Coturnix japonica: one gene and its partner. Each later gene encodes a partner of the first gene's protein in a complex. Links are inferred from orthologs where the notes say so. Each region holds a gene or a part of one and is shown in the gene's direction. Other genes may lie near its edges. The genes, in order: CNOT6 and CNOT11.

What was found.
Region 2: CNOT6 (region 1) and CNOT11 share a complex: the UniProt entries of both Homo sapiens proteins name them as parts of the CCR4-NOT complex. The link is inferred for Coturnix japonica from reciprocal best matches to the Homo sapiens genes CNOT6 and CNOT11.

Annotation. Positions count from the first base shown.
Region 1 is NC_029528.1:4,232,669-4,243,334, forward strand, and holds part of CNOT6 (CCR4-NOT transcription complex subunit 6), read left to right. Parts: intron 1-3,970; 5' UTR 3,971-3,972; coding exon 3,973-4,084; intron 4,085-5,877; coding exon 5,878-6,064; intron 6,065-9,717; coding exon 9,718-9,803; intron 9,804-10,221; coding exon 10,222-10,326; intron 10,327-10,411; coding exon 10,412-10,480; intron 10,481-10,666. UniProt on the Homo sapiens protein: Poly(A) nuclease with 3'-5' RNase activity.
Region 2 is NC_029516.1:120,249,637-120,261,048, forward strand, and holds the start of CNOT11 (CCR4-NOT transcription complex subunit 11), read left to right. Parts: upstream 1-5,359; 5' UTR 5,360-5,431; coding exon 5,432-5,843; intron 5,844-5,989; coding exon 5,990-6,154; intron 6,155-8,599; coding exon 8,600-8,752; intron 8,753-9,293; coding exon 9,294-9,496; intron 9,497-10,122; coding exon 10,123-10,325; intron 10,326-10,606; coding exon 10,607-10,703; intron 10,704-11,246; coding exon 11,247-11,412. UniProt on the Homo sapiens protein: Component of the CCR4-NOT complex which is one of the major cellular mRNA deadenylases and is linked to various cellular processes including bulk mRNA degradation, miRNA-mediated repression, translational repression during translational initiation and general transcription regulation.

The DNA of each region.
Region 1 (10,666 bases):
GAGTTGTTTGGATTTTTAGCCGCCTTGTAACCCAACTTCCGCCTTTTATTTTGCTTAAACTTAAGAGACGTACTGCTCCATAGGGCTGCTTCTTGTGCTGTGGCCTTTCCTCATCCTTATGTGGAAAGCACCATAGCAGAAATGACTTGACCCTTAGGCAGCTCTCCCTTTATAGGCCATTAACTTCCCCTAAGCCTATACTCCCAACAGCACTGGTGCTTTAGCTACAAATGCTCTTCAACAGCAGAGCAGCACCTGCTTAATGGAGCAGCACTCACACAGCTGCTGGTGATGACACCTTCTCTTTTCCAGGACAGCTCTCTAGAACAGCTAACCTGGTTCTTAATCACCTGACTTCACTCATTGCTTTAACCTGGAGAACTGGGCAGCAATTGGCGCAGGTGCAACTCAGCCCTGTGGTAATTTGCTTTGTCTCTAGTGATCCTGAGAGATGCCCAGATCAGCACTCCATCATCCATTTGTTGCATTAGTCATCACTGTCAGCTCTCCTAACGGTTTGGCCTCCCTTGACTTGGCAATCTTCAATATTTTTCTTCACTTTGTGTCTCTTTTTGCTCTCTTTCTCTCAGAGCCATTCATGCAAACAAAGGCATAAAGTTGTGTCTGCATTGAAGATTCTCCATCTGATTTCCTGTGTCACATCCTTTTTGCTCTTGACATCACCAGCCTGGTTTAACTCAGCTCCTGTGAGGTTAGGAGTCCTAATTCTGCATTGGGATTGAGTGACCGGGGTTGGAGTGGGCAGCTGTCCTTGTCATCAGCTCTCAAGCAATTTTGTTTCATCTTTTAAATGTAGTTCTAACAAGCCGGTACAAGATAGTAAACAATTTAATTTGCATTTAAACATAATCACACGCCCTCACATTTAATTTTGGTTGTGTGGAATGCATTCTGTTATCTGTGTCCTATCTTTGTTGATAAACTGTTTCTCCCTTACCAACTAAGTGGTGTGTGTAACAGCTGAGTATTCAGCAATGCTTTCCCCAGACTGTGCTGGTGCAACTGAAAATTACAGATGGTGTAAACTCTTATGAAAATGAGATGTAAATGATGGCTGTGTTAAGTTAATTATTAGAGCAGCCCTTATCAAAGGCTTTGAGGTTGTCCAGCACCGTTTTATGCCTCTTAAAATTGCTTTAGTCTGACAAAACCATATCCCTTCATCTGACATTTACCTCAGCAGGTTCTAAATTTGGAATGGGGGAGGTGGAGAAAGGAGACAGTGATTTGTAGAAAGCAGTGATTTATCCATCTACTCCCTGCTGGGAAGTTTTGAAATTTAGTTCAAGGCATCCCATTTGTGTTCTGTGGTGGCCAACGTGACCCACATTTAGTCTGGCTGTCAGGGCCTGGGAGATCTTCAGCTCTACCTGATGAATGAAGGTGCACAAAGATCTGCTGGGGTGACTTCCCACGTCGGTGCTGTTCCTTGCAGCCAGGACTGCTCCTTGAGCAAAGCTGCCCTGTCTGCACTCGCTGCTTTTTCTGCTATTGAGTGATCCTAGGCTTAGTCTTTGCACTTTGAAATGCAGCAGTGAGAAAGGGAAATCCATCGAAGAGGAATGCTGAGAAGGGTCAGATGGTGACACTGACAGACTGGCAGGACGGGCACACTGATATTCTCTGTTAAAACCTTCAGTTGTTAAATCTCATCAGTTGTGTTACCGTGCATGAACAAAACCCACTGGAAAAGTATGTCATCCTCCTTTGGTAGCAGGGAGCCATGTAGCGCTGGTACCAGCAAGTCTGTTAATTAGTGCGTGTGATTGACTGTGCTCTGGGGAGTATTCGCATTTCCGTACTGAATGAGATTTCTGTCTCTGGTACTACCTGCTTTCGTTTTTAGAAAGTGGAGCACGTTTATTAAGTGCAGGAGCTGCAGGAAGAGAATGTATCAGATGAGGGAGGGAGGAGAACACTCCCTGGAAGAGCACAGCAGCAGTGCTCTGTGTGGGGATGGCATTTGTGAACATGTGCTTGTTTGTAGCAGGCTCAGAGGAGATGCTGTATGTATTGTTTTGCCATTTATGATTACATTCGTTAGATAGCTACTAGAAGGTTAAAATATGTTTTTACCTTTCTGGTGATTTTCAGTTTTTACCTTTTTAATGAACTTAGTTTAAAGAAGATGATTTAGCACTTAATGATTTTTAGCATCCCCAGAACTCAGGTATGGCCATTCTGTAAGGAACCCATCCCAGCTGCTATTTATAATCTGAGCACTTTACCCAGAATTCACTTCTTAAAGAGGAATTTCTTGTCCCTGGGTGGAGCTGACTCTGACCAGCAGTGAGAAAGGGAAGAGGTGTGAATCAGTACAAGAGTTACTGCGTTACAGTAAGCACTTGGGGCTGGATGACTTTGTTTTAATAAAGTCACATAATTATCTGTCTTCTGTTTTTTAATGTGTTAAATAATTTTTATTAAATGAATGGTAAGTAGGTCTGGTCAATGGCCTTGTGAGGATTATTAGTTGTTAATGTTCCATTGGAGTGCAGTGCTTTTCTAATGTACTCAAGTATGTCCAGGGCTGAAGGAAAGACTTGATAGAAAGCTTCGCTAGGTGTGATAGCTGGGTGTTGTCGGGGTGTCAGCAGCATTTCTTTGCATTGCTGTTACGTGTTTTGCTCTAGGAATTGCATTGCATTGCTTGAAATGTATTTGTAAATTTGTTTTGAGATGCTGTTGTTTAACTTAGTTATTGCACACACATCACTTCTATGGTTTATGGCTCGTGCTTCTCAGTGTGGATGTTTCCACTTAAGATGGGGAACTTTGCCATAGAAGCTCTTACGTATGCATAGAACTCTAAGCTAGTGTTTATTTGTGGTAAAAATGATGTATATTGGAAGTTCTTTGTAACCTTAAAACATGCAACTAATGGGTCAATTCATGCAGTATTTATATAAATCAAGGTATGTTTAAGCCATTTTCCCTTTTCTACTGACTGAATCCCAAATACTGTTTTCTTGAGGTGGAGAGGAGACAGCAGTGCCACCTTCTCATTCCTTCTCTGTGCACAGAGCTGGTACTGCTCTGCTGCCATACAGGAATGCTGGTGGGAGGGCTCTGCCTAGAAGAACCTTTAGCAGTTCTCTTCCACTGTCTACACTGGGCTGCAGTAATAAAGAAGCACTGATCAGAAATGTTTCTGAATTTCTTATCAGGAACGATGAGGAAGAGAGTGAGGGAAGTTAAGGTCAGTTAGATGCTTAACGGTAAAACTTAAGAAACTGATCTGAATCTCTATGTTAGAAATGATGTTTTTAGACTCAGAAGAGTAGGCTGAGGATTGGATTAGAGCACTGTTGTTCTGCAGACTTGAAGAATTGAGGATCCTTTTAGAAATATTCTTTTCTTGGTTGCTGAATTTGTGTTGTGAGTTGAGGGCTGCAGTAAGCCTGGAAGTGATGGGTAGACAAGAATAGTAGCAAGTGTTTTCAGTAGTTTATATGAAGGGGAACATGGTAGTGGTGGTATTCATCAATTTCTGAAGTCTTGTTGTTAAGGAATTTGGATGTGGTTATTATTCTAAGCAGCTTTCTGACCAGCAAGGAGAACAGAAAGCCCAAAAGTCTGAAAGTTTCTTTGTCAAGTAGTGGTTGCTGGAGGTTCTGCTTCTGTAGGCCAAAGGCGAAGGAGACTGCGGTATGATGGGATGTCTGCAGAGCAATACAGGGGTGTACTTGTGAAAGGTGTCAGGACAGGATGTTTGTATTGCATTACAGACATAATTAAATTATTGGGGGCTGGGGTTGGATTTTTATCTTATACCATTGGATCTGAGCTCCTCTAAGAGAGCAGGCTTTTACACTTAGAAATGGATGTAGATTACCTTTAAATATTTGTATTGAATATCCAGTACAATATTTAGCTGTAGAATGGAAATTACCTTTTAAAGAATTCTCAGTATAAAATGTCATAATCCTTTGTGATTTTGTATCGACAGGAATGCCCAAGGAAAAGTACGATCCACCTGATCCACGGAGGATGTACACAATTATGTCCTCAGAGGAAGCAGCCAATGGAAAGAAATCACACTGGGCAGAGTTGGAAATAAGTGGTGAGAAACCGGTTAATGATCCTCAGTTAAGATTTCAGTGTATTTTAAAAGCAACCTGCACAGTACAAGCTGGAACGAGAAACATAGGGAGTATGAAACAGCTGTAGGAAAGAAATTGTAAGCTCCATGTGTTATATTCGGTGGTTGACTGGAAGAAGCAATAACAAACTGAGGTTTTACGCTGAAATTCTGATTAAATAAGGAATTTCTTTAAAAGATTGGTATTTCTAAATGGCTGTTCAATAGATAAATGTATAGAAAGCAAATAGACTTCTAACTGTAAAGTCTTTCCTTCCAGATCACTGAATCTGTGTCATCTTTCAAGTGCCACATGCCAGTACATGTGAATTACAGTACTTACTCAAAGGTTACAGGTGCAGAAACCTAGTTAAATGCTGCTTCAAGAAGCATTAATTTAGGCTTGGATATCCACTTGGACATCTGCTACTTATGCATAGGAAATGCATTAAGTAATAGCTCTTTCCTTTCATGCTTTGTGATCTCACTATAGACTGATTCCAGCCAAGAGAAATGTAGGTGGTGAAGGGAATATATAAATCCTTCCTGCTCGAAAGGTTTCTTTGATCGCAGTCACCTGTTTGCATTTAGAGGGTAGGAGAGAGGGAGGAGTTGTTAATGCAGCTTTAAGAAACGCAGAGAAATCCTGATTTGTACTTAAAAACGTTTCAGAAAAATTCTTAATGAGCTTGAGAGGAGAATGAACCCTTGAAGGAATTGTTTGCATTTGCCTTGCAGAGTAAAATGTGGCAGTGCCTTTGTTCCATTGATGATCACAGTGTCTTTTCCGTGCAAAATACTCGGTCATCTGCTACAGAAAGCCACAAATGCTTTAATTGCTTTTATTGAAATCTCCGAGCTCTTTGCTGCGGGCTTTTGTGTGCAAGTAGCTCCCTGACAAGTACACCTGTATTAAACATTTTGTTACCAGGGACTGCCTTCCAGATACAAATGTATCAGTGTAGCTTTTCCCAGGCACTAAATGTGAGTTGTTTCCTTAAATAGTGTTCTTCATAATAAAAGGAATTATTATGTGTTTGCGTTGGGGTATTTATTAATGATGCTGTTTTTAATGATGCTGTTTTTAACATTGAGGTTTTTTAAGGCTTTCAAGCTTTTTTAACCTTAGAGAAACTGATGGTGGTGCTCTTCCTTCAGTGCTGTTGGCACAGTTAAGTGACTCTTGTAAATGAAAAGAGGGCTCCTCCTGGGGGAAAAAAAGTCTTGGAGAGAAGAAATGTTTTGAGACCTTCTGATTATACCTCACATTGTTTGTGTGCTGTGATGTAACAGCCTTGATTCTGTAACAGAAATCCATGTTTCCATCTTTCAGTTTATACAAAAATTATACCTTTTTAAAAAATCTCTGGCAGTGATGTATTCAGCTTTCAGCTGAATGCCAGATGGAAATCCGTGTTCTCAACCAGGCATTTTGGTCACCCCGAATATAGTACTTCTGTCTGTTCCTGGCTGGCTGGATGCCACAGAACAAAGATTTTTGGTTTGAAAGTAGGGGAAAATTGAAGAGCCATCTTATACCCCAAACATGAACAGTAATTGAGGAAATGTTTCTTAAAACATCTGTTAACTGTTGGGGGGACGGTCAGTAAATAGGTCTGTTGTTTTGTATGGATCTTGAGAAAAGACCAAAGCTCAGAACTTAAGTCTATGTTGTTTTTTCCCAGTCTCACATATGGTAGTGCTTAATTCTTTGAATCTATAAGATACATTGATTTTAATTTTTGAATTTTTCTTTCTTTACCGTCCTTCCACAGGGAAAGTGAGAAGCTTAAGTTCATCGTTGTGGACACTGACCCATTTGACAGCTTTGCATCTCAGTGACAATTCCTTATCCCGTATTCCTTCAGACATTGCCAAGCTTCATAATCTGGTTTATCTGGACCTGTCCTCTAATAAAATCCGCAGTTTACCAGCAGAGCTCGGAAACATGGTGTCACTCAGGTATGTGGGTTTATAACAGGAGTTAAAGTTGCTTAGCTGTTATCTTTGTACAAACAGCTTGGGTTTTGGCATAATAGTGATGTTCTAGTAAATGTAAGCATAAATAAATTCCCTCTTCCTTATTTTTTTTTTCACTTGTTCTCCTGTTCTGATGTATGACATCATATATATGTAATGAGCTCTAGAAATGCTCAGTTTGACAGCACTCACCCATTTTATGTCTTTACAAGTCAGGTTTCCTCTCCTATGCGTCTCTTCCCAAACTCTTTTCTGGAGTTAACTAAGAAATACTAATACGCAGAAAATTGCCTTTAGCTCATTGCAATGTAGGAAAAAGGTCCGATTAAACATCAACAGTTGTATTAACTACTGTTTTTTATTATTTATTCATTATTCCTAATAATATTTGTTCTTATTCTCTAGGTTTAATAACTAATGCAACTTTCCTAATGTCGTCTCTTTCCCAACTTTGCTGTAATTTAACTGCGTTCCTGTAAATTAAGGAGGAAAAAATATTTACCATATGCAACTTTTTCACTGAATTTTACAATGTTTAGCTCCTCAGAGTATTCATGGAATGATGCCTCCTTTTGGAAGTGAAACATGAGTAGCAATGAGTGTTTGTGTTATAGTTAAAACTGCAATGTTTCATTTTGTTTGCAGAACACTGTTATGTAAACACATAAATGACATATAAAGGTAAATATCTACAAGCAATATTCTTCTGCCCTTGACCAGAGGGAAAAAAAAAAAGCTTTATTGTTAGGTTTATTACCAGCATCTGACTTCATTACTTTTAATTTTGAAGATGTTTATGGTCAGCTCAGAAATCCCTGAATCTAAAAGTAACTGGAATTTTATTGGAAGTAAGGAAGAAGAAAAAGAAGTAATGGTCCTCCAGCAGAGCTTTAATGAAACTGAAGGCCAAGCAAGTTTCTACATAGAAATATTAGTCAGTGGATTTTATTCTACTTTAGCAAAGATGAAATTAGAACTAAAAGCTCAAATTCCAAAGTAGTTCACATCTCAATCTATGATAACTGTCTTCTCTCCTTTATCTGTTCCTCAGATATTGTAAGCTAGCAATCCTAAATTTACTGATGCATTCTCAAATTCATCTTTATACTTCATCAGCATCATTTTATTTCCATCAGTCTTTTTCTTTCCTTCTATAGTGTTGCTATTAAATTAATGCACATTACCTGACGTTAGCTTACCCTTGCATAGTCATCAGTAGTGTCAAAAGATACAGTGCCATCTTCACAATGCTTTCCCAATTTATCCTGATTCTCTGGAGTTTCAGCTCTGCCAAGTCCCAGACCCCTCTTCAGTAGAGAATGATAAAGCTAGTGAGGGTGAAATGTGTAGCTAAGGCCTAGGATCAAACTAGTGTTCTGTTTGTGACAAAAACATATCACTGAAATCCAGGTCTCTAGACACAAAGAACTAGTGCATTAATCCACTGCGCTCTCTCTGTCCTCAGTAATTGCAGCTGATCCATGATTTCTTTTCACTGTGGTGAAAGTGAAGAAAAATCCGTAAGTGCATCCTGTGTGATAGCGCTCTGCAGGTCTCAGCTGTGCTGTAGTTTTATGTTTCAGGCTGGCTCTTACTGCAGATGCTTCCCATAGATTCTGGGGAGTTGATCAAACTAACAGTAATTCAGCACGAGGCATTGCTAATATCCTGAGCCACAGAAATAATTTGCACTCTCACACTTTAGCATTGGTAACAGGTCTTATAACTCCCACATCTAGAGAACTGTGCTTGGGCTTTATGGCAGAGCTCAGCCAGGGCTCGTGGCATCTCCCTTTTTACTGCAGGTGCCTGAAGGAAGAGGGGTCAGGGGGAGCAGTAAGATGTCTGATCTTTGAGGAAAGAGGAGAAGTAACTGTAACATGCAATCTCAGAAAGCTCAGATCTGAAACAGATTCTCTTGATACACTTGAAAGAACTAGTGGAATTTGCTGTGATTGTCCCTTCTGTACAGGAGGGTTCCATGCAAGCATAGATCGTTAGAGAAACAAATTCTTTCATCCAGGAGAGGAGTGGTAATGATACCTCCTTGTCTGCCATTCTTCCTTCTTGCTCATTTTCCACTAGAAGATGTAGAAGAGCTATTATTATTATTTATTATTAAAATATATTTTTTTAATTCATATATAATTAGGTTTTTTTATTTCTTTTTTTCAACTTCAGTAGTGCTTTGAAAAGCTGCTGTAGGAAAAAATGTCTTCCTAAAGAATAAATTAGGACCCTTGTAATGTCACATGTAATGTTATCCCTAAAAAATAGCACCTATTTCAATGTTAAATGTTTATGAAGTGCAGAGAACTGTTGGGAATGTTGATGTTTTCGCTTTTTTTTTTTTTTTTTTTTTTAATAATATCATAATTTATTTTTTTTTTAACCTGCTGTTTGTCTTGTTCATACTTAGAAACCCACAGTGACACAGTGGGCTGCTTCTGAGTTAGGCTGTTTTCAACTGTAGGATTTTCATATTAAAAAGAAAGCACACAAAAATAACTACAGACCAGGTGGCTCGGTGTGTTACAGCCTGTCAGTCAGCCGAGTACTGGCTTGCCATTTCTAGTAAACTGGCTGATTACAAACAGCCTTTATCTCCCCCTTCATCTTCCACTGCTCCACACCTCAGAGTATTGGTGAAACAAACCCCTCGATCTTTAGCACCCTTTCTAATCTGCGCTGAAACCGAGTGAGTTCACTGAAGTCACTGCTGGGGAAGGACCTGGTAGAGCTGACTATTACAAGGCTGGAAGAAGAGATGTTTCTTTTTCAAATGCAACCTCATAGAAATCTGAAGGAAGCAAATTAACACTGGAAATTGTGAGCAAAGTCTTCAATTCAGCTTGGGTTGATTTTTAAGAAATTGGAAAGCTTGCTAAGAAGTCTGTTTTTCTCTGCCTGATTGATTGGAATGTTAGAACGCCAGACACAAATTCTGTTCTTGTGTTTGTTCTGCAATTTTGGAAACAAAAAAAAGGTGTATTTTGTGTTGTGAAAACAAACAGTGTTGGTGAGAGACACAACTCGTTTTTTGTGTGCCTGGACATGCGTACACAGCAGATCAATATGCACTTTGCTTGTGTGACAAAAGCAAGCAGCTTATATGGAGAGAATGGATTACCTGGGAGGCATGCACACTGCTTCTTATATGTTATCAAAAGACCTTAACCACAAAGAACTGTAACTGCACTAATACAGTAATGTCCTAGCTCTCATATTACTACCATGGTCCTGAATTTTTTGCTTACTTGTTTTCTCGGATATAATTATCAGCTGAGCTGTTTCACGACCTGGTTTGTCAGAGCTGTTACTGCTTAATCACTGGTAGTTACTAAATGCTTTAGTAATTGTTAATGTTTATGATATTTCTGACTTGTTAAGATGAACTCGCCAATCACCTGCTTTCCTACTTACTTCAGTATGGTACCCGTTCTTGTCTGTGCCTGTGTGAGTACAGCAGAATTTCCCTACTGCCATTCAGTGTTCAAGTTTGTTTCTTTTTATTTTTTCTTCCTATGTTGTGGTTTGTTAGTATATTGTTTCTCTTTTAGTAACTTGTACTATAGGCTGCTGAAGACAAACCCAGGTCTGTTTTCAGCCCTATATGATTGTCGCTCTGTCTACAGGGAACTACATTTAAATAACAACCTGTTACGAGTTTTACCTTTTGAGCTGGGAAAACTGTTCCAGTTACAGACTTTGGGTCTGAAAGGTATTACTACTTTTTCTTGGTATCTGTGCTTTGTTTGTTTAATGATGTCTCTCCTGCGATGTAGGGGCTGTAGACTGCTAATTCGTGAATGTTCCTGAGTAGCAATCCCAGATGTAGCTGCTTAATTCGCTTTTATAAACACTGCTTAGTAATTGTTAAAGAGAGGAACAAGAGTCACTTGGGTGAAGTCCTCCAAGTGTAGAGAAGCTTCTCTCTTTCTGCAGAGCGAGAAGCTTTCTGTTGCTTGCACAGGAATCAGATGTGGTGCTTGTTTTGTGGGATTGAATACCTGAGATTTGAAGCTTGTTAGATAGTAGATTTAATATCTTTTATCAGCGATGCTGGCTTTTAACACTGATAAGTAACTTCATACTGGTTCTGTATACTTCATTCAGCGTTTCTGTAAATGTGTTTGCAGGAAATCCACTCACGCAGGACATTCTGAACCTTTATCAGGAACCAGACGGGACGCGAAGGCTACTGAACTATTTGCTTGATAATTTGGCAGGTACTGCAAAAAGAAGTAAGTGATCATTCTTAAAAGATTTATTCCTGCTGTGTAAGATAAATGTGATTATCACTTTTGTCTCTTTAAAATATTTCCATAGTTTCAACAGAACAGCCACCTCCAAGGTCTTGGATTATGTTACAAGAACCAGACCGTACCAGGCCAACAGGTACTGTAGTGCTTCAAGAAAGCTTTATTCATTTTATATCAAATGTTGATCTCTGTTATCTGCTACTAAAATCTTAATGATGCTTCAATTAACCAGTCATCTGCCCAGTGCTGATAGACAGTTGTAGTAGCCCTGTCCCATCTAGAACCTCTGCTTCAGACTCTAAGTTCCTTTTAATTAGCATAC
Region 2 (11,412 bases), on another chromosome or scaffold:
AGCTACACTTAGTGCACGAGGAGAGCTGCCTTTACAGAGCCTTATGGAGAGCTTGCTCTGACCCACCAGTGCTATAATGAACCAGAGAGGGAGATCAGCGCGTGAATGAGGCATTGCTGCTGCCTGCAAGATGGCTGTGCCAGACTGAGGGAACCACTGTCATGTCGATTAGATGAGTTTTAATGCTGTGATAGTAGGATGTCTGTGCTGTGGTTGCTGATGCCAAACCACAGGCTCCAGCGAAATAGTAGGTGGCTGAGAGAGAGTGCACTTCTCCAGCTACACCGACTGCATGCGTGGGTCCTTATTGTGATCTCTGAGAGAAACATGGGAATGACTGGCAGCCAGGGGCACGGCTGGATAGGTCTGCAGATGGTGGCTGATGGCAGGGAAACATTTATGAACACAAGCATGGGATGCATAGTTCATGAATAAAAGGATCCTGAGAAAAGCGAGTGTTTCCCCCTCTGGACAAAGCAATGCCTTTTTACAAATAGGAGGTTTCTGCCCACTGTTCCATTATTTGAACCACCTTACCATCTTTTGTCCTGGCCTGTGTAGTTATATGCTGAGGTCAGATCACCTGATGGGAAAAGATGGTTTAATTATATGTGAAACGCTTACAGAATGGTTTCAGCTGCTGAAGGCAAAATGGCTCAGCCTCCCAACTTGTTTGGATGCCAGTGTGCTCCGTGCCATTGGTGTTAACACAGCACTCTGCTTCTGCAAGAACATCAGTCAAGGTTACACTCTCTTTTTTGAGGTAACATACGTGCTTGCGAGGGTTTTATAAAATAACTGGTTAGATGTGAACCTATCCCTGTTTTTCTTGTGCATTTTGTTCACCATAACAGCATTTACCTATAAAACACTTGCCAGGTATTAACGGAGATGGGGATGAACCCTTCTCTAGCACTGGCTTTGCATTTCTTTTCCACCATGTTCCTTCAGCCACCGCTGAGAAGCTCCCTGTAACATCACCTCAAAATTCAGTCACTCTGAGGGTGAGTCAACAGTCCAACAACCCCAGCTGCTTCTCTTCCCTGTGCTGTGGCTCTCTCCCTATCTCTGAAATACTGCCAGGTACCCAGGAGAGCCCCTCTAGGAACACCTAGTGGTGCTCAGGGATATGATTTAGCAGAGGGTTGTTAGAGTTAGGGTACTATGGTTAGGCTGTGGTTGGACTTGATGATCTTCAAGGTCTTTTCCAACCTGGGTAATTCTATGATTCTATGATTCTCTGAGCTGTCACTGCAGCCCTTCCCATCCTTGAGACTTGAGGGGGTTACACACATCACAGCAGAGTTACAGCTGCACAGAAGTAGACTTGCTATCAAGGTGCTGCTGCCTATCAGCAGAGTTCAGCCAGCTGACTTCTCTAGGGAGGGAATGGATAAGGTCTCTGTCCCAGCCACTGACTGTCATAGAGCGTGCACACATTTAACACTTCTGAAATACTTTTGCCTTTTGGTCATGTCCAGCTAAAGAAGATGAATGGTCAGAAGATGATGGGGGGAGGGAAGGAGCCAAGGGGGCTGATTTGATAGACTGACAAATAGACAATGCGATTGCATCAGTCTCATTTCCTTAGGAAACTAGGCTAAAAATAAAAAGGCTTTATTTGCTCCTGGGAATAAAGCAGAATGTCTCTCACATCTTTACAAAACATTTGTTTCTATGTGTACTTATAAACAGTCAGGATGGGAGAGGAAGTTTGCACCGGGTTTTGAGAAGAAAATTACAAGGAAGAGCCAGAGGTGCATGAGTTTGAAAACCCAGGATACTTGTAGACATACAGCACAGCAATAGAGGCAAGGTCTTGCACACAAGTGCCACATTACTGATGCGTCAACTGTTGGCCTGCAAACCAACCTGCCTGTTAGGCAATTTTTTACCTCTCCACAGAATGAACACACTTCTTCTTTGGTGAACATGGATCAAACCCTATGTGCACTCTGAAGTCAGCAGGCTCTCACAGATGGAAGTTGCTGTGTTTGATCAGATTTACCATCCAGAGATTACTGTTACCAAGACTAGCTACTTCAGAGGAAACTCCCCCCAGAAAGGCCTGTTTCTGCATAGAAAATGCCTTTTGTTTATGAGATCTAAAATGACTATTTCGCTGTTTTATCAGCTGGTCCCACACTGGGGGTGTGCTTTTATAGCTGTATTTAATGGACAGGGAACCAAGTAGTTCCACATCCTCCAGAAACCTCTGATTGCTGTGAGACATGACTGCCAACACAACATCCACAAAAAGGGAACAGGTCCGTCCAGGTCCCATTGAATGGCAGCACAGCCGTCTGGGGTGTGTGTGTGTGGCTGGTGCAGCTTGTCAATGCTGCTGTTTGAGCATCACCTCCAAGTGACCATACATGCAAGTGACACTTGGGTGAACTGAATGGCTGCTTCGCATCCTGCTCACTGAATATACAGAAGCTCCCCCCGAAAGCAGTGCTCTCTGCAGGGTGTAACAACTGAGTTATTCAGCAAATGAGAATGGTGATGTGTCTATCTTCCCGTTTCATTTTGCTGTTTGTTTTTCTTAGCCCGAGTTAGTGTGTTCCATAACTCAGCTAATTCCTATCTACGGAGTATCCTGGAGCAGTTTTCTTCACTGTGAAGATAAAACACTGCATTCACCAACAGCACTGACTGGGTCTGCGTCATTAATATCTTCACTTTGACCACAGCAGATAAACAAAGATATGTGCAGATACAGTGATCTGTTGTTTTTCCCTTTTACTTCCTTGTGCCGAGGATTATGGCTTGCTTGTTTGAAGACACTGAAAACAATATACTTCTAATGCAGCTGATTGCAACAAACAGCATGGGGGAGGATGGAGGGAGGATTTAACTGGTAAGAGATAGTGAAGGTTTATTTTAGTAGATAAATATTGTACTGCATTTGCCTCGTCTTTGAATCGCATTAAATATACACACTCTTAAAACACTATTGAAATGTTCGAATGCCAACATTGCAAATGAAAATCAATAGGATGCTATTAGGCTCGTTATATTGCTGCGATGCATCATTAAAATGCATTTTAAAAGCTTTCAATGCAAAATGGGAGATGGGATGAATGTTTTGAGGAAGTGCAGCACACTTAGAGACGGCCACAAGAGAAACTTGGTAGGCAGATGGAATGAAAGCCCTGTAAGGAGTTCAGTAGATACAGGAAATAAATGGGAACATTACAAAATGAATGAGACGAATCTCTGATACAGACAAAACAGTGGAGCTTCACTGTTGCTGGAGGAAAGTAAAATCACCCAATACTTGTTCTTTCTAAAGGGAAAGAATGAGGAGGGACTCTCTCAATGTCTGGGAGTTTAAACAGGCAAGAAGGACAACGCATTTCCAGTCCCCAAACACACACGTTGTTCTGCTTTCATACCTGACCGCCATTGCTTGCACTGTTCCTGGCACAGGATGAGAACACAAACCCTCATCCTGCACCTCACTGAGCACTTTCTCACTAAAACCATCAGATCCTGCTTTTCTCCTTTCCTTCCAGGAGTCCTCAGTTCCTATAAACAAAGAAAAGTAACTTCAGACAGAGATGAATATTCCCCCCTGCTCCTACTAGAGCCATAGCCTGGATTTGAGTTCAGCACCCTACAGGCAGAGGAAGAAACAGAAGCTGAAAGTCCCCCCTCCTCGAGCATCAGCTCTGATCAGCTCTGAATTATTAAACACTTTATCAGAAAGCAGATTTCAGATTAGTGGTTTAAGCACAAACAAAGCCCTCCCTCCTGCAAAGATCCAACTGATATTGATTTGAGATGAAAACAGAAACAAAGCGTAAGTCGGAGTCATCGAACCAGGGAACAGAAATAGTGCCAAGTGAGTCAGGCGTGCAATTGCAGAGCTCAGACGATAAAAGCTGAATACTCCAATTCAAGTTCAGAGTGAAGAGTTTCCAAGTGATGTTCACATAGGAATCCAAGTAATCATAGAATTACCCAGGTTGGAAAAGACCTTGAAGATCATCAAGTCCAACCACAGCCTAACCAGCACCCTAACTCTAACAACCCTCTGCTAACTCATATCCCTGAGCACCACATCCAAATGGCTCTTAAACACAACCAGGGATGGCGATTCAACCACCTCCCTGGGGAAAATAATAATAATGACTTGACATGGGCTGACACTTGAAAACTGCCTTAAAATACCCAAGTGTCACTACAGTTCACAGAAGCTCAAGAATTTATCACCAACCATGTTTGTTTCTGAATGACCATGGAACAGCACATATGAAGCCATTGTAAAATCGTATCTGGGGTGTTTTTACAAAATACATCCAAGAATCGCTTGACATCTTTGAGGTCTGATGAACAAGTGAAGCTCAGGAAGGCTTTTAGGCATTGTTAGCACGCCAATATTGTTGATTACTCCAGGAGTAATAAATCTGTTTCTGTTGTCTCATGGTAGGTTTTGAACTGAAGAGCTGAACTAGGAAAGATAACATGCAATGGTCACTAGAAAGCTGCATATGGAGAGGCTCACACGAAACCTAACTTCCCCAACCCTTTTAGATTTGTTGCTATTAAAAATACACTGTAGATGGGCAGGGTCACTTAAATTACTAAGGGAAGGAATCTGTGTACAAGAGAAAAGCCTTGTGAGAATAAACAAAACAATCTGGATGTGTTCTGATTTCCCCTTTGACTTCAAGGTGTGACTTAATTCCTTCCCATCGTGTTCTTCCCATGTGAAATGTGGGATAAAAATACACCAGTGGAAGTTATTTCCTAGCTGAAGGATTCAGCTTCTTCGCTAGAAGAAACTCAAACACTTGCTGTGAAGCAGGTCAATTTAATATCACTTCTTTGCCACCTTTTTCTTTCACCTCCCTCCTGCTGCCTATTTCTGTTGCTACCTGAGCAGAAGCACCACAGATCTACTTGAGAGTGGATGAGCACCCAGACAACTTGCACACACCAGAAGCACAAAATCCGCTGCTCAGTTTCAGGTCACAGAATCTCAGAATTGTAGGGGTTGGAAGGGACCACTAGAGGTCATGGAGTCCAACCCCCCTGCCAAAGCAGGCTCCCTACACCACGTCACACAGGTAGGCGTCCAGGCGGGTCTTGAATATCTCCAGAGAAGGAGACTCCACCACCTCCCTGGGCAGCCTGTTCCAGTGCTCCATCACCCTCACTGTAAAGAAGTTCGAACTTCCTATGCTGTACTTTCATCCCATTACCCCTAGTCCTATCAGATGACAGCACCACAGGGCGGTGTGCGTGGAACGCGCTGCGCTCCCCCTACTGGCCCCAACGCCCGTCGCGCTCCGTCCCCGCCCCGCCCCGCCAGTCCCGGCCCAATGTCCCGGCCCATCCCCTGCCGTGCCGTAAAGCGCGTCCGGCGCCTCAACGCTCGGCCTTCCGGTGTTGTGCAGCGGCGGGGCCGTGCGCCGTGAGGCGGATGCCCGGGGGCGGGGGCAGCCCGGCCGAGGCGGGCGGTGAGGCGGGAGGAGCGGGTGGCGGCGGTGGAGCGGCGGGCGGCAGGATGAGCCTGTCGCCGAAGGAGCTGACGAGCCTGCTGGGCATCGTGTCGGAGGAGGCGGGCGGCAGCACCTTCGAGGGCCTCTCCAGCGCCTTCCACCACTACTTCGGCAAGGCCGAGCATTTCCGCCTGGGCTCCGTGCTGGTGCTGCTGCTGCAGCAGCCCGACCTGCTGCCCAGCCCCGCGCAGCGCCTCACCGCCCTGTACCTGCTATGGGAGATGTACCGCACCGAGCCCCTCGCCGCAAACCCCTTCGCCGCTGTCTTCGCCCACCTGCTCAACCCCGCTCCCGAACGCGGCGGCGACGAGGCGGAGCGCACCCCGCTCTCAGGTGCCGGGAACGGCCGGGGCTGTGACAGCGGGAAGGGTCACTCGTTTTGCCGTAACGTTACTGTACGAGATGATCTCTCCACGCTTAAGGAGCACGCGGGGTAGTGATGGCCTCAGGAATCTTACCGCTCCCCTCTCTCCCCGCAGGCTTCTTGCCGCCCATAACCCCGCCCGAGAAGTTCTTCCTCTCGCAGCTGATGCTGGCCCCCCCCAGGGAGCTGTTCAAGAAGACCCCGCGCCAGATCGCTGCCATGGACGTTGGCAACATGGCCCAGTCGGTGGATATAAGCGGGCTACAGCTGGCATTGGCGGGTAAGGAGGAGATGTGGCTGTGCTGTGATAGGAGAGTGGTTAGGCCCTGGAACAGGCTGCCCAGGGAGGTTGTGGATGCCCCGTCCTTGGAGGTGTTCAAGACCAGGTTGGACGGGGCCCTGGGCAACCTGATCTAGTAAATGTGTATGTTTGGTGGCCCTGCCAGGCAGGGGGGTTGGAACTACATGATCCTTGAGGTCCCTTCCAACCCGGGTCATTCTGTGATTCTGTGAAATGTTAATTGCTGTTTGACTTTGAGGTGCTTCTGTCTGTGTGGCAAAAGTTGGACTGTGGTCAGGTTTTGCAGTGTTAGCTCACACTAAATGTTCTGCCTTTACTAGGCTATAAGGAACTCAGTGCTTATTCTTGGGCAGGAATAGGATTGTTCTGATCGTGTGGAGCAACAAGTTGCATCTAGAGCTGATCTGAAATGGAAAATATTGCTTAGAATGAGTTGCCAACTCGAGCAGTTTATTTCCTAGGTACTCTATTCTGCACAATACAGTACTTGGCTTCTAAACTTCAGTTCAGTTGGTGACGTACTGTAACAGGTTGCCCAAGGAGGCTGTGGATGCCCCATCCCTGCAGGCATTGAAGGCCAGGCTGGATGTGGCTCTGGGCAGCCTGGTCTGGTGGTTGGTGACCCTGCACATAGCAGGGGGTTGAAACCAGATGATCACTGTGGTCCTTTGCAACCCAGGCCTTTCTATGATTCTATGATTCACTGTGGTAACTTTTCTTGTAGGCTCTTCTATTGAATGTCAGTTGCTGGAATAGAGCGTCTTGATTCTCCAGATCAAGAGAGCCTGATAAAACATAAGTGATTGCATTCGTAGGAATTGTTTTCTTCAATTTGAACATACTGGTTCAAGTTGCTGTGTTCTCTTCTGAAATACAACCGTGTTCTAGCTAACAGCGCTCACCCCTTCCTTCTGCTTACACTGGGCTGCCCAGGGATGTGGTGGGGTCACCATCCCTGGAGATGTTCGGGAACATGTAAGAATGTATCTTAAACTTTTGTTCTAATTAAGCATCATTAGTCATTTGAGATGAGGGGATTTGAGGGTATACAACCAATCCATGACTTTATACCTATATAGGTGTAAGTTTTAGACTACGGATGACAATGAAGGACACCCAGTATGTCACCTTGTTTTCTTCTCAGAGAACTTCTTACGTTGACTCAGCTGATCCCTGTAGGAGCTGAATGGTAGAACTCACAAGCTGGAATTTCCAACAGCGTATAAAGTTTGAGCATATATTCCAGTGTTTTGCATGGGCTGACATAATTGGAAGATGGACATTTCTAGTATAAACTAGCAGTAGGCAGAGCTTTGTGTCTGTGTCCTTTTGTTACCTACAGGAGTTTTGCTGTAAGCGTCTCTCATGGATCTGAAATAGAGTTTCATACGGATGAGGAGCTGCAAAGGGTTATATGGCTGCACAAAAAAGTGTGCTTTGTTAAAAGAGATAAGGATGGGGTACTGAAGCTGAGGGCACTACACTTAATTAATCATCCGGATAAGAAATGGTGTTGATTTCGTGTGGGACCAGCAAATTTGGCCTTCAGATTACTTGAGACTTTATCTGCTACTTAATATCCTCCTTGGGAGGGGGAGGGAAGGAACATAAGATGGCATTGTATGGCAGGCTCTTGGCTTTCCTGCATGTTGTTGGGCTTTTGTTGGTTTGCTTTTACCAAGGTAATAGAAAACATGGTTCTCACTAATACAGAGAATATGGAAGGTCAGCCCTTAAGCCTTCAGGTATGGAAGAGCGAGAGACTGTGACAGAAGAACACCTAAAATTTGACAGTGCAAATATTGATTGGTTGTAATAGTTTATTTTACCACTCTTTCACGTCTTCAGCTTCATATGCTAAATTTAGTATTACTTCTATGTACCTTGTTTATGCTCTGTAATTTGGGCTTTAGAGGGATGCTCTTACAGGACTTTATAGCTGTAACTGTAGAATCCTGTATCAATTAAACTCCTATGCAAAAGCAGCTTACGTGGTGCCACTGAAGTGTGTTGGCTGAATCTGAATAGGTGACTTCAGTTCTAGTATGACCCTTATCATTGCAGAAAGTAAATGTATCTCTGCAGGTTTCTCTCTTCACTGCTCTGAGAAATGATTGCAAAAGTAGATAGAGTTATGCGAACTCTTTCAGGACTATCATGTGGATGTACTGATTTGCTTGTAATATCACATTGCATCAGTTACTTAAAGTCAAGTCTGAGATTCATTTCTACTTCCTCATCCTTGCTGCTGGCTGCCTTCTATCATCTGGTAGACTCAATAGTAGCAAGTACAGAACTAAATTCCATGTTGTTATCTGTTCGGGTTTTGATTTATTGCAGCTAAAAAAGCTTTTGCTTAGCTTCTAGCATTTTGTCATCTCTTTCAATTCCATGCTTTAATACTGTGGACTGTCCTTCTTGCAGAGCGTCAGTCTGAGTTGCCGACACAGAGCAAGGCCAGCTTCCCCAGCATCCTCAGTGATCCTGACCCAGATTCTTCCAACTCCGGTTTTGACAGCTCTGTTGCCTCCCAGATCACGGAAGCATTAGTGAGCGGACCAAAGCCTCCTATAGAAAGTATGTACGTTTTCACATCTTTTTGTTTAACCTCACGGTGTGCTACGTTGTTAGTCATCTCCAGATGAAGCATAGTATGACTCAAAAATGTTTTCAAGGTATGAAATGGGAATGAAGATGAACGAAGCAGTGCAGAACTGTATTAAACTGTCTCCAGATCAGTCTCCGTCATGTTCCCATTTCCAGGCTTTTCAAAACCTGGAGTCTGCCTCAGTCTGATAGATGTGTTACCTGATGCTCCTCAACTCGCAGCCCCTTGCACTAAGTTCTACTGTAACACATCAAAGAGTCAGTAGCATGGGAGAGAAAAAGACCATTCATCAGTGAAAGAAGCAGTAACGTAGCGATCCAATTCAAGAGGAAAAACAGGCTGATGTAACAGCATCACTAAAAATGAGGAATAAATACTTTCCTGGGAGGAAAATAAGACCGTCATGTGCTTCCCACTGTTGCTCTAGCTTAAAAAGTTGAGAACCTTGGAGATACCCTTGTACTGAAATAAAATGGAGCTCAATGTATTTCACTTTGTTGTCTTTTTTAGGTCACTTTCGGCCAGAGTTCATTCGTCCACCACCTCCGCTCCATATATGTGAGGATGAATTGGCATGGTTAAATCCCATAGAACCAGACCACGCGATTCAGTGGGACAAGTCAATGTGTGTTAAAAACAGCACAGGAGTTGAGATAAAAAGAATTATGGCAAAAGCTTTTAAAAGTCCCTTGACTTCCCCACAGCAAACACAGGTAAGTATTGTGCCATTTCCTGCTTAAATTGATTTTCGAGCAGGCTGTCTATTAAACCTACATGTTTTCAGTTTAAATTATCCTAGTTTTCTAATTCAGATTTCTGTAATGATTGGGTAAGCATCCAGTAATCCAAGCTCTCAAAACTCAGTGCGTTTTTACTCTCAATAACTTCCTGAAGGGAGGTTGTAGTGAGCTGGGGGTTGGCCTCTTCTCTCAGGTAATTGGTGATAGAACTAGAGGGAATGGTTTTAAGCTGTGCCAGGGGAGATCGAGGCTGGACATTAGGAAGTATTACTTTTCGGAAAGGGTAGTCAGGCATTGGAATGCACTGCCCAGGGAGGTGGTGGAGTCACCGACCATGCAAGTGTTCAAGAAACGTCTGGATGTTGTGTTGATGAATATGATTTAGCTGGGAAGTATTGGTAATGGTTGGACTAGATGATCTTCTAGGTCTTTTCCAACCTGATTCTGTGCTTTTGGTTATAGTACATATGAACAAGATAAGTCTTTAAACTTCATAGCGTTGACTGGATGTAGTTAAAAGCTGATCAGTAAGCAAGCGGAACTGATACCTTTCTGTGTGTGAAATCTCTTGATAACCAAGTTCCTTTTCCCTTCTACAGCTCCTTGGAGAACTGGAAAAGGACCCCAAGCTTGTTTACCATATCGGTCTCACTCCTGCCAAACTGCCAGACCTCGTTGAAAACAATCCTTTAGTAGCCATCGAAATGCTGCTCAAACTGATGCAGTCCAGTCAGATAACAGAGTATTTTTCTGTCTTGGTCAACATGGACATGTCCTTACATTCAATGGAAGTTGTCAATCGGTAAGTGGATGAGTGGATAAGCCAAATGATATGAAGAATCTCAGTACTCAGGCAGTATGGAGGATTGAAATTATATTGATTCACTTCTATAATTTACAGCAAATGTTTGTGTTAATGTCAGATGTACTGAAGCCCAAATTCATCTCTGCTTCTGTACTGGGTTGGGTTTAAAAATGAAACATGATCAGCAATAGATTAATATCACAGGTCTAACTCTGTTCTGCAATGGAATCGCTGAATTTATGGCTTCATGAAGTATTTGATGTCTTTAATTTGAACAGGCTTACTACTGCAGTTGATCTCCCTCCTGAATTTATTCATCTTTACATCTCCAACTGTATCTCCACTTGTGAACAGATTAAAGACAAATACATGCAGGTGAGTGCCCTACTAAGTGGGTTAGGAAAAAAGGTCCCATATCTTGCTCTGTGTAATACATGCTTAGACTTTGTTAAGCTTAGCTCACACCAGGTGTGGTGAGTCTTGACCAGTTCCTCCCTTGGCTTTCTTTTCTCCATGCTGAAGGACTGCAACCTCATCAGGCTTGTGCAAAGCAGCCATTACTTTCCTTTAAGCTTTTTGGTTTCTTTCTTGAGTGCCTGCTGTAGCTCTCAGATGGTTTGAGATGTCCCTGGTTGTGACAGCATCTTAAGCTATCATCCCTTCTCTCAGGACTTTATAAAGTTACATAATAAAGAAGTACAGTACTGTAAAGCAGAGGAGCCTGCTTTTTTTAGATACAGTAGTGATAGGAGAGGTAGAAGAGCATGAGCAGCATGTTCAGAGCTTGAGAACAAGAGGACTGCTGTACCAAAATTACTCCTGAAGTGAAGGGGCTGTTGCACTGCTGAGGGCCAACACACAACTGCACTAGCTGTAAATACATATGAAGGTTGTGAAACCATCTCTCTTCTGTTTCAGAACCGCCTGGTACGCCTTGTTTGCGTCTTTCTTCAGTCTTTGATCAGAAACAAAATTATCAACGTTCAGGACTTGTTCATAGAAGTGCAAGCGTTCTGCATTGAGTTCAGCCGGATCCGAGAAGCTGCTGGCCTCTTCAGGTTGCTGAAAACCCTGGACACTGGGG